Linked DNA regions of Caenorhabditis elegans. The protein of the gene in region 1 purifies or fractionates together with the protein of each later gene. This does not show direct contact. Each region holds a gene or a part of one and is shown in the gene's direction. Other genes may lie near its edges.

Region 1 (4,503 bases):
ACCAGACTATGAATCCATCGAATATGAATGTTTTAGAGCAGGCCGAATTAGTTATCGATGGAGGTGATCCAGGTAATATTTACGAGTTTTATTTACCACCTTTGCAAACACAGCTTTTCGACTTTTTGCATGAGGTATATTAAATTCAAATTTTCCAGGGGATGAACAACAAGTTGCCCATGAAGAAATTGTAGACGACGGTTCGACTGAAATGGTTGTTGATCACCATCATCATCCACAACTTCGTGGTAATCCAATGCATCATCATCACTATGATAACCGTCAATCAGCTCCTGCTTATCAAGTTCCACAACAACAATCTCAATCAATTCGTAGAGGAGTTGGCCGTCCGATGGCTCCTCGTCCACAAAGTTACCCACATAATATGGATATGGTTCAGAAATTGCAAAATAAAAATGTCTATATGCCAGCTCAGCAGAGACCTCAGACAAGAATTTCTCCAGCCGGCGCGAGAATTGTCAGCTTTGCTGGAAGAAAACGAGATAATTCTGATGGGCTTCCTCCAGGTGTAAAGGTAATTTTTTTGGTCGAGATATTAAATTTATTAATATTCCTTTTCAGAAAATGAACATGCCCGCAGCTCGCCCACATCAGCAGCAAACTCAACAACAATCTCATCTGCAGCAAGGTCAACAATCACAGAAAAATCTGCAACCTGTCAAAGTAGTTCGTCTGGCTTCAAGTGTGGCTCGTGCAAATCCGACAGCATCCGAACATGCTCTTATCGAAATCGAGAATAATATCAAACAAACAATAGAAGATGCAAAAGTCGATACTGAGAGATTAAGAGAATTACAAGAAGCTGACTTCTCACAGGATGAATATCATCAATATCTTGGAATGTTGATTATGGATCTGGAAAGATCAAATGAGGCGAACTCGACTCTGACAACATATTATCGCGAACGACAACGACATGAAAAGACTATTTCGGAAGCCAGAGAAAATGCATTTTCAGCTAGAATTCGTCAGTTGGAGACTGAAAATCGAAAATTGAGGGATTCGATTCATGTGATGTATTATGGAAAGTTCAATGAGGCTGGAGGTCATAACAATATTTATCGAAATGATCATATGGTAATTTTCAGTTAAATTACATTTTATTAAATATGAATTACAATATGTTTTTTTACAACTTTCAAAATTGATAAAACAATAAAAATAAGATATCCCTTTTGCAAACATTTATTGGATTTCAGGGTCAAATGATGGTTGAAGAGCCCGAAGAGCATGTTGTTATTGAAGGACACGTGGGCAATAATCAAGAAGGAGTACGTTTTAAAAAAAAGTCTATTATACAAAAAAAAGAGCTTCAATGTTTTGAAATGCAGAATAAAATCTTGAACCTGTAAATTATTTTCTCAAAGCTATGTAAACGGAAAACCAATGACTGAGAACTGAAATTCCATTTTTATTACTAATTTATCTTAAAAGTACACCTTCTGGGGAAATGCAGTCGAAACTCTCCAAAAAACTTAACTGCTTTGTCATCGAGCAAATTTGGAAGAAAGTTTGAATTATTAATTTATAGTGAAATTACGAATTTAGTAAACATCTTGGTTTTTTTAAACTTATCAAAATGTTCGATTTTGTTTCTAAACAATAATAAAAAAGTTCGTAATAATAATAATAATTTATTTTAGGAAGAAGTTCCACAAGAGTGGATTGTCGAGGAGACTGTTGATGAACATCGAATGCATTTGGAAGGAATGGAAGCAGATGATCATATGGTTGAGGATCAACAACAACAGGATGAAGAACATGAAGATGTTAAAGATAAAAACTTGCTCGCTGGTGGAAGTGGAAGATCTGGATGAAATTTTTAACTTTTTATCTGGAAACCTGATTAATTTATTCGTTTCATCCTCTCTTTCATTCATCTATATTCTTCTGTTGTTAAATTATTCCTTTATGCCTACCGGAATCGCAAACTAATCAAAACAGACTAAACTTTACGAAACTACGGTCAAAAACTGTCACATTGCGTTCCAAATATTATTTATGTTTCCAATCCCAAATTTTGAAAATTAATTTACAAAATTCTCGGGTCTTATCGATTTCATCACTTTTCTGTTTAACTTTCCAATTTTTAAAATTTACAATTCTTTTTAATCTCACCTTAAGCTCCACAGGATCCCATTTTCATTCTTGATTATCAAATTAACATCTCTAGAAGGCAGGCCCTTCTTTCTTCCCACCCCCCCCCCCCCCCCCCCCACCTCTCTCATTATTCCCAGAACTAGTTTAAGAGCATTTTAAGCTACACTTTGAAATATCCAATACAAAATAAAGTTATAGTTTGAAATTTTTTATTCTGATGAATCTGTTGATATTTCCTGTTTAATACAGGTTCTGTACCTAAAAAGGATTACCGAAGATAGTAAATTCAAAATATTGTTTTGTAGAAAAATAAAATGACGGGAGGTTTAATTGTTGCCGGTTTGGGTCTCGCTGCAGTCGGATTTGGAGCTCGATATGTCCTTCGAAATCAGGCGCTTATTAAAAAAGGAATGGAGGCGATTCCAGTTGCTGGTGGAGCTGTTAGTGTTTATTTTTTGAAAGTTTTAATTTAAAAATGCCAAATTTCAGTTTAGCAACTATTATCGTGGAGGTTTCGATCAAAAGATGTCACGAGCCGAAGCAGCGAAAATTTTGGGCGTTGCGCCGTCAGCAAAACCGGCGAAAATTAAGGAAGCTCATAAAAAAGTCATGATTGTAAATCATCCAGATAGAGGTAATTAAAATTAATTTCTCTGAAATGAAATTTTAAATTAAAGTATCGTATTTTCGTTATCCGAAATGCAAAGTTGAAGGCGGGTCTCGCCCCACTTTATTCGGATTTTTCCTTTTTAAAAATTGCGAGCAAAATACTAAAAATATTTTACTTTTTAGTTTTAACCCCTCATACTTTAAAAAAAGTTAAGAAAAAAACCCTAATTCTTTTTCTCTTTTTTCCACTCATTTGCTCTTCTCACTCATGCTCAATGAAGCAGCAAATAATGAGTTACTCTTCCAAAATTAGCTTAGAGCTTCATTAAACATGAATTGCCAGATTTTAAAATGTTTTTCTCATTTTCAGGAGGATCTCCATATTTGGCTGCCAAAATCAACGAGGCCAAAGATTTGATGGAATCATCGAAAAGCTGATCGAAAAAAACTATTATTTCTTCTATTTTATGTTTTGTTTTCATTAGTGTGATGTAGAATCAATGAAATATCAGATTTAAACAGATTTTTTTAGAGTTCAAATGTGGATAGAAATACCAGATATAAATCTTCTTTTCGTGTTTTTTTAAAACTTTTCCCTCGGGACTTATTGAAAAGTCGGTTCTTTTCTTTATTTTTGAAAAAAAATTCAATAACTTTCGGTCATTTTTAAATTTCAGTAAAAAATTCCGATAAATCTGTAGTTCCTGTAATCTTTTACGATTTTTTTTTTCAATTTTCAAAAAAAAACACAATTTTTTTCAATTATTCCCTCAAAAAACAGCGAAAAATCTAACAGCATTCTTTTCCTTTTATCCTAAATAACATAATTCAAAATAAGAACTTTGAGCAGTTCAGACAATCTTATCTTAGATGTCTTATCAATTAATATTGATTTTTCATTCGTTATAATTTCAAATGATAAGCTATCAAATGTGTATCTTCTTGTTTGTAACCGACCAGTTACCATTTAAAAGATACTCAGATAGTCATACAAAAAACATTTATATAGGCGGTGCACTTTTCTCCATTTTTCTGAGTGGAAAAACGCGTAGTCACCACTTAAACGTCAACGGAACCTAATTTGATATCCGTGAGGGAGATGCTCCAGACTCCGCCCACTTCTTTTCTCTTCTCCCATTTTCTCTGCTTTCTCCCTTTCGTTTTTCATCTTTTATATGCAAATATATTCCTCCCTTCCACAATTTATAATGTGAACGTTGATATTTGGAATTAGAAAAACAAATTATTTTCAAAAGCCTACGCTTCTTCAATTAAAAATCACATGGCTCCTGAATAAGAATTGAATGAAAATTCATTAAAATAAAAATTCAATTTACCTCCAAATAATCTGTCTTTAAAATTTGTCACTTTGTCATTATTTTGATACCCTCTAATTTAATTGAACTCTAGTCGACATCATCGAAACCTTATTAAAAATTTATTATTTCTCTATTTTCATCTCAGCTGAGATCTCAGTTCAATATTTAATAATAAACATTTTTTGCAGACTGAAAATGACACTTCCACGTTTCGATCAAATCCGACCCAAGATCGAGCAACACATCCGGGAGGTGAAGGATTTCCCGAAGAAAGGCATTAATTTTCGGTATGCACAACACGTGTATTCAGCTCGACCAACGCCTCGAAAATTTTCAAAAAAGGCGGGAAAAAATATTTGAATTCGCCAAGAGGAATTTCACCGCAGCGCGTGCAAAAATGTCTGCATTTGCGCGTGACGGTGTTTGCACAAATTACACCGAATGGTCGAGCTGA
Region 2 (4,613 bases), on another chromosome or scaffold:
AATGCGAGAGGATGAGATTAAAGTGTTTTCAGTGGAATTTGTGAATATTCAAAAAGAAAATGTTAAACTAATGAAGGAGAACAAAGCTAAAGAATCACAAATTTCAAACCAATCGATTCAAGTTCGAAATTCGTGGAAATTCGCAGATTTATTCAAGAAAGAGCTGCAGAAAAGTCGGAAAGACGTGTCGGAAGTGAAATGGAAAATTGATAAAATCGAAAAAAAAGTCGGCATCAAAAAGCCTACACCAAGGAAGAAGCCTGATGTAAAGCTGATAAATCCAGAGGATATTTCATTGATGTCTGACAGAACCCAGGATGGGGAAGATTCAAGTGACTTCGGAAGTCCTCTAGCGAAATATCTGAAGCCTGATCAGCCCAGCACAAGTTCTGCGTGCTATGGGAAGCCGTTCTATTTTGAAAGCACCAGCAGCAGCTCCAGAAAGCCCATCACAGCATCTCCAGGCCCTCCAGGCCGAACACAAATTTCGGATCAGCTGAACACTGGAGAAGTTAGATATGTGGTGAATTCAGGAAAACCATTCAATTTTAGCTCGGAAAGTAACTCCAGGAACTTGAAGCTTATTCCAGGATATATTAAGAGACCAGAATTTCGCTATATCAAGCCAGAAGGCTTCACCTCAGCCTCTTACAAAGCTCAGTCAGAAGGAATGAGCTCGTTTTTGAAGACTGGAAGCTCTGCAACTCCTGAAAATTCGAAGAAATCAGCCCATTTTGACATGCCGGATATTTCCTCAACGCCTTACAAATCTCACGTGGTGGTGGAATCGGACGAAATGAATAGTTCTTCGAGTACAATTGGAGGATTTGAGTCAGAAAAGAAAGATAATGGAGCTCTCGGAAGCCAGAAATCTCCTGTTAGTTATAACGAAAAAAATTGCTAAAAAATTTACTTAAAATTCCGCGAAATTTTGCCAATCTGTCAGTATCGATTTTTTCAATTTTTCAGGAAAAAAAAGTCAAATTTTAAGGTTTTTTCAATAAAAAACTTTTGAAAATGAAAAAATCCGCCAAGACGATTTGTTCGATGGGGCGCGCTTGCATTATTTTTTGTTTTTGTTTTTTTGTCCTAATTATTTCACTGAATTCCTTCATGTTTTGTGTATTTTTACTGAAAATTTGAAAAGCTAATGAACAATTTGCATTTATCTTGACTTTTCATTCAAATTTTCAGTGAAAATTCACAAAAAATGAAGAAGTTCAGAGAATTGATGAGAAAAAAAAAACAAAAATTAAAATAATGCAAGCGCGCTCTATTGAACAAAGTCTCTTGGCGGTAATTTGAATATGAAACTGGCAAAAATGGAAAATTATTGCAGATGCCCGACATTGCCACAGCACTTCACAATATATTTGATTCAAAAGAAGTTCAAAGTAGTTCTTCAACCACCGGAAGCTCTGCACCGCCCGAAAATTCGAAGAAATCAGATCATTTTGACATGCCGGATATCTCCTCAACTCTTTACAGATCTCGTGTTGAGCCAATCAGCAGCTCTTCCAGTGGATCTACCAGCACAAGTGCTCCGAGATATGTGCCAAAACCAATAGCCCAGCCAGCTCGATATGCAATTCCAAGTCCGGGTGCTTTGAATGCCTTAAGAGTGAGTGACAGCCGGAATCGCTCAGTTTACTGGAGCGCACTTGCAATAATACATACTTTTTTTTCAGCGTCCCCCAGAATGGAAAGGTCAGCGCCGACATGCGCCGAGTTACGTGAAATCCAGAGAAAGCGTCACGTTCAGAGGATGCTCCAGATTTCCAGTCACATCACCGCATTTCGCGAAAGCTCACCTGGAACCTGTGACTGATGGAAAAGATGATTCGAAAATTGTCAAATATCGATTTGTACCGAAGCGACCAGATTTTGATGGAGAACGCGAACATAAGAAGTGACAAATCTTGGTTTTTTTGTGTTTAAGGCTTTTAGAGCATTGATAATAAATTTTTTGTTGGATTTGCTGTGTTTTTTTGCGGAAATACACAGATTTTTGCAGAAAAAGTTAAGAAAAAACTGCTACAGTTTGCCCTTTTCCACTTTAAATTGCCGCTTAAAAACTCCTCGAAAAGAGTGTGCAAAGCATGGAGACGCAGACACGCACGAAAATCACGCCAGCACGTTACTGGCGCACTTGAGTCATGTGCTGGCGCATTTCTTGTCATGATGAAATTTATTAATTTTTTCTTCGTTTTTTACCAATTTCCGCCGATTTTTCGTTTTTTATTCCTAATTTCTTCAAATTTTGGCAATTTCAGACAATATGCTGCGCAAAGGAGTGTCTTTCGTCGGCCAGGCTGTTCAACAAACGCTGTAAGTTCCTTGAATTTTGAATAACGGTGAAAATCAAATTTTTTCATTGCAGGAAAACTCAGAAAAACTTGCGCATTCAAAGATTCAGCGCCACGGCATCACAATCATCGGAAGAAGTCAATTATGAGATTAGAAAAGACGGAAAGAGACTCAGAGGTAGCGATTTTTACTCTAAAACAAATTCTAAATTCTAAAAACTGATATAATATTTAAAAAAAAACCAGGAGCCGACTATGAAGAAATTGTTCTTACTTCGATTGCCGGCGAGGACAAGACACAGATTCCAAAGGGTGCTTTTGATGTTCTTCTCAAGGAATACGACGATTTGCAGGCCGAAAGCTTGGATTTTAAGGATAAATATCAAAGATCGCTTGCTGAAACTGAAAATGTTCGTCGGCGAGGTATCAAGCAAACCGACGATGCTAAGGTTTTTGCAATCCAATCATTCTGCAAAGATTTACTTGAGGTTCGATTTTTAAAATCAAAATCAACCGAAAAACAATTAAAATAATTCCAAATTTGCAGGTCTCCGATATTCTCGACATTGCCGTCAAGTCTGTGAAGCCAGAAGATCTGGAATCGGGAGGAAAAGCTCTGAAAGATCTTTTCGAAGGAGTTTCAATGACCCGTACTGTCATGGCAAAGACATTCGCAAAGCATGGCCTTGTGACCGTGGATCCAACCAATGAAAAGTTCGACCCCAATCTCCACGAAGCCGTTTTCCAGATTCCATCTGCTAATGTTAGTGCTAACCGCCCGAATTTTCCGAAATAAAAGAGCCAAATCTTGTATTTTTTGAACAATTTGGGCTTATTTAATCCTTTTTAAATGCCACAAAATGCTTAATTTCCTCCATTTTCAGGCCAAACAACCTGTCGGACATATCGAAGTGTGTACAAAGATCGGCTACAGCCTGAAAGAACGTCCAATTCGGCCTGCTCAAGTTGGAGTCGTCTCTAAATAATTTTCTTTTAATTTTCCTCTGGTTTTTTAATGTTTTTCCGGTTTTTTGTAGTTTTTTTTTGAATAGCTAGTAATTTTTATTGTTTTTCTGTTTTTTCCGTTATTTCATCACACTCCAATCACTTTTTCCCGCCGTTTTATAGGATTCGAATGAACAATTTTTGAGTTTCAATTCCCTTTTTTCCACTTTTTCGATAGGTTTTCAGCCATTTTTCATATATTTTTTAATTTTAAACAGGAAAAAAGCTTCTTTTTCATTTAAAACCGTAAAATTTTCAGAATGATCGACACAAACCTTCTTCGGGTGACAGTGTGCGATGAAGGAGAGCTCGAAAAGAGCACAACGCATTTTATTGGGTACCAAATTTTGGATATTTCAAGCGAAAAATGCGATTTTCCAAGCACAAATCGCTTTGTGTCGATTTACGCAGCTCGTGTACTCCTCGAGGAGAAGATTTTTATAGTTTTTGGAGAAAATGCTCAATTTTTGACCAATTTAACATTAAAATTGTCATTTTAATTATTTTAAATGAAAATCGACTACAAATCATCGTTTCCAGCAGTTTTCCATATTAAAAATGCTGAATTTCAGCATAAAAATTACCAAAAAAGCGAAAAATCGGCGATTTGAACGTTAAACTTTTAAAAAACAGCGAAAATGTAAAATCTAGCATTTTAGTCGAAAACTAGTATTTTTCTCCTCGGGGAGTACACGAGCTGCGTAAATCTACATTAGGCGATTTGAGCTTGGAAATTGATTTTTTTTACTCAAAATTGAAAAATTCTGCGAAAAATTTCGAATTTTTTTGCAAATTTCTAAAAAAAAACTTAAATTTCAGCTCCAAAATTATACAAAACTTAATTTTTTTCATTTCCAGATCTCGAAAAATAGAGCCGGAGCAATGGATTACGTGGGCGAGCGAATGCAAATACTTGCCCGAATCTGACGCTGTTGCTCTTTGTGCAACGTAAGAAAAAAGCAATTTTCAGCAATTTTCGGCTCAAAAACTGAACATTTTTTCAGATTAATCGATCGTCTATCACTGGAAGCCAATGTGGTGCCCGTTTCGTCGCCTGTCACAATTTGTGGAGATATTCATGGACAATTTTATGATTTACTCGAATTATTCAAAACTGGTACGGAATCGGATTCGAATTGGAAATGTCACAAAATTGGATGAAAAATTCAAAAAATCAGCCGAAAAATCGAGAAACTTTCCGGGAAAATCGGAAAATTAGCCAAAAAAAAATCGAGAAATTGGATAAAAAAATTCGTAAATTGAATGAAAAATTCAAAAGTTGAATGAAAAATTCGAAAATTT

Evidence for each region. Proteins that work in one complex are often made in the same cells at the same time.
Region 2: the proteins of dnj-21 (region 1) and C34C12.8 fractionate together in Caenorhabditis elegans (co-fractionation; one large-scale study listed by BioGRID). This does not show direct contact.

The regions. Positions count from the first base shown.
Region 1 is NC_003279.8:5,674,401-5,678,903, forward strand, and holds dnj-21 (Mitochondrial import inner membrane translocase subunit TIM14), read left to right. Parts: upstream 1-2,426; 5' UTR 2,427-2,435; coding exon 2,436-2,561; intron 2,562-2,610; coding exon 2,611-2,755; intron 2,756-3,100; coding exon 3,101-3,168; 3' UTR 3,169-3,246; downstream 3,247-4,503. Other genes in the region: T19B4.5 (uncharacterized protein), read left to right, coding at 9-72, 159-535, 583-1,098, 1,221-1,292, 1,665-1,838; aprt-1 (Adenine phosphoribosyltransferase), read left to right, coding at 4,245-4,336. UniProt on the Caenorhabditis elegans protein: Probable component of the PAM complex, a complex required for the translocation of transit peptide-containing proteins from the inner membrane into the mitochondrial matrix in an ATP-dependent manner.
Region 2 is NC_003281.10:3,458,133-3,462,745, forward strand, and holds C34C12.8 (GrpE protein homolog, mitochondrial), read left to right. Parts: upstream 1-2,273; 5' UTR 2,274-2,278; coding exon 2,279-2,328; intron 2,329-2,380; coding exon 2,381-2,484; intron 2,485-2,552; coding exon 2,553-2,794; intron 2,795-2,853; coding exon 2,854-3,069; intron 3,070-3,190; coding exon 3,191-3,292; 3' UTR 3,293-3,458; downstream 3,459-4,613. Other genes in the region: C34C12.2 (Fibronectin type-III domain-containing protein), read left to right, coding at 1-877, 1,340-1,621, 1,689-1,913; pph-6 (Serine/threonine-protein phosphatase 6 catalytic subunit), read left to right, coding at 3,572-3,648, 4,170-4,259, 4,316-4,428. UniProt on the Caenorhabditis elegans protein: Essential component of the PAM complex, a complex required for the translocation of transit peptide-containing proteins from the inner membrane into the mitochondrial matrix in an ATP-dependent manner.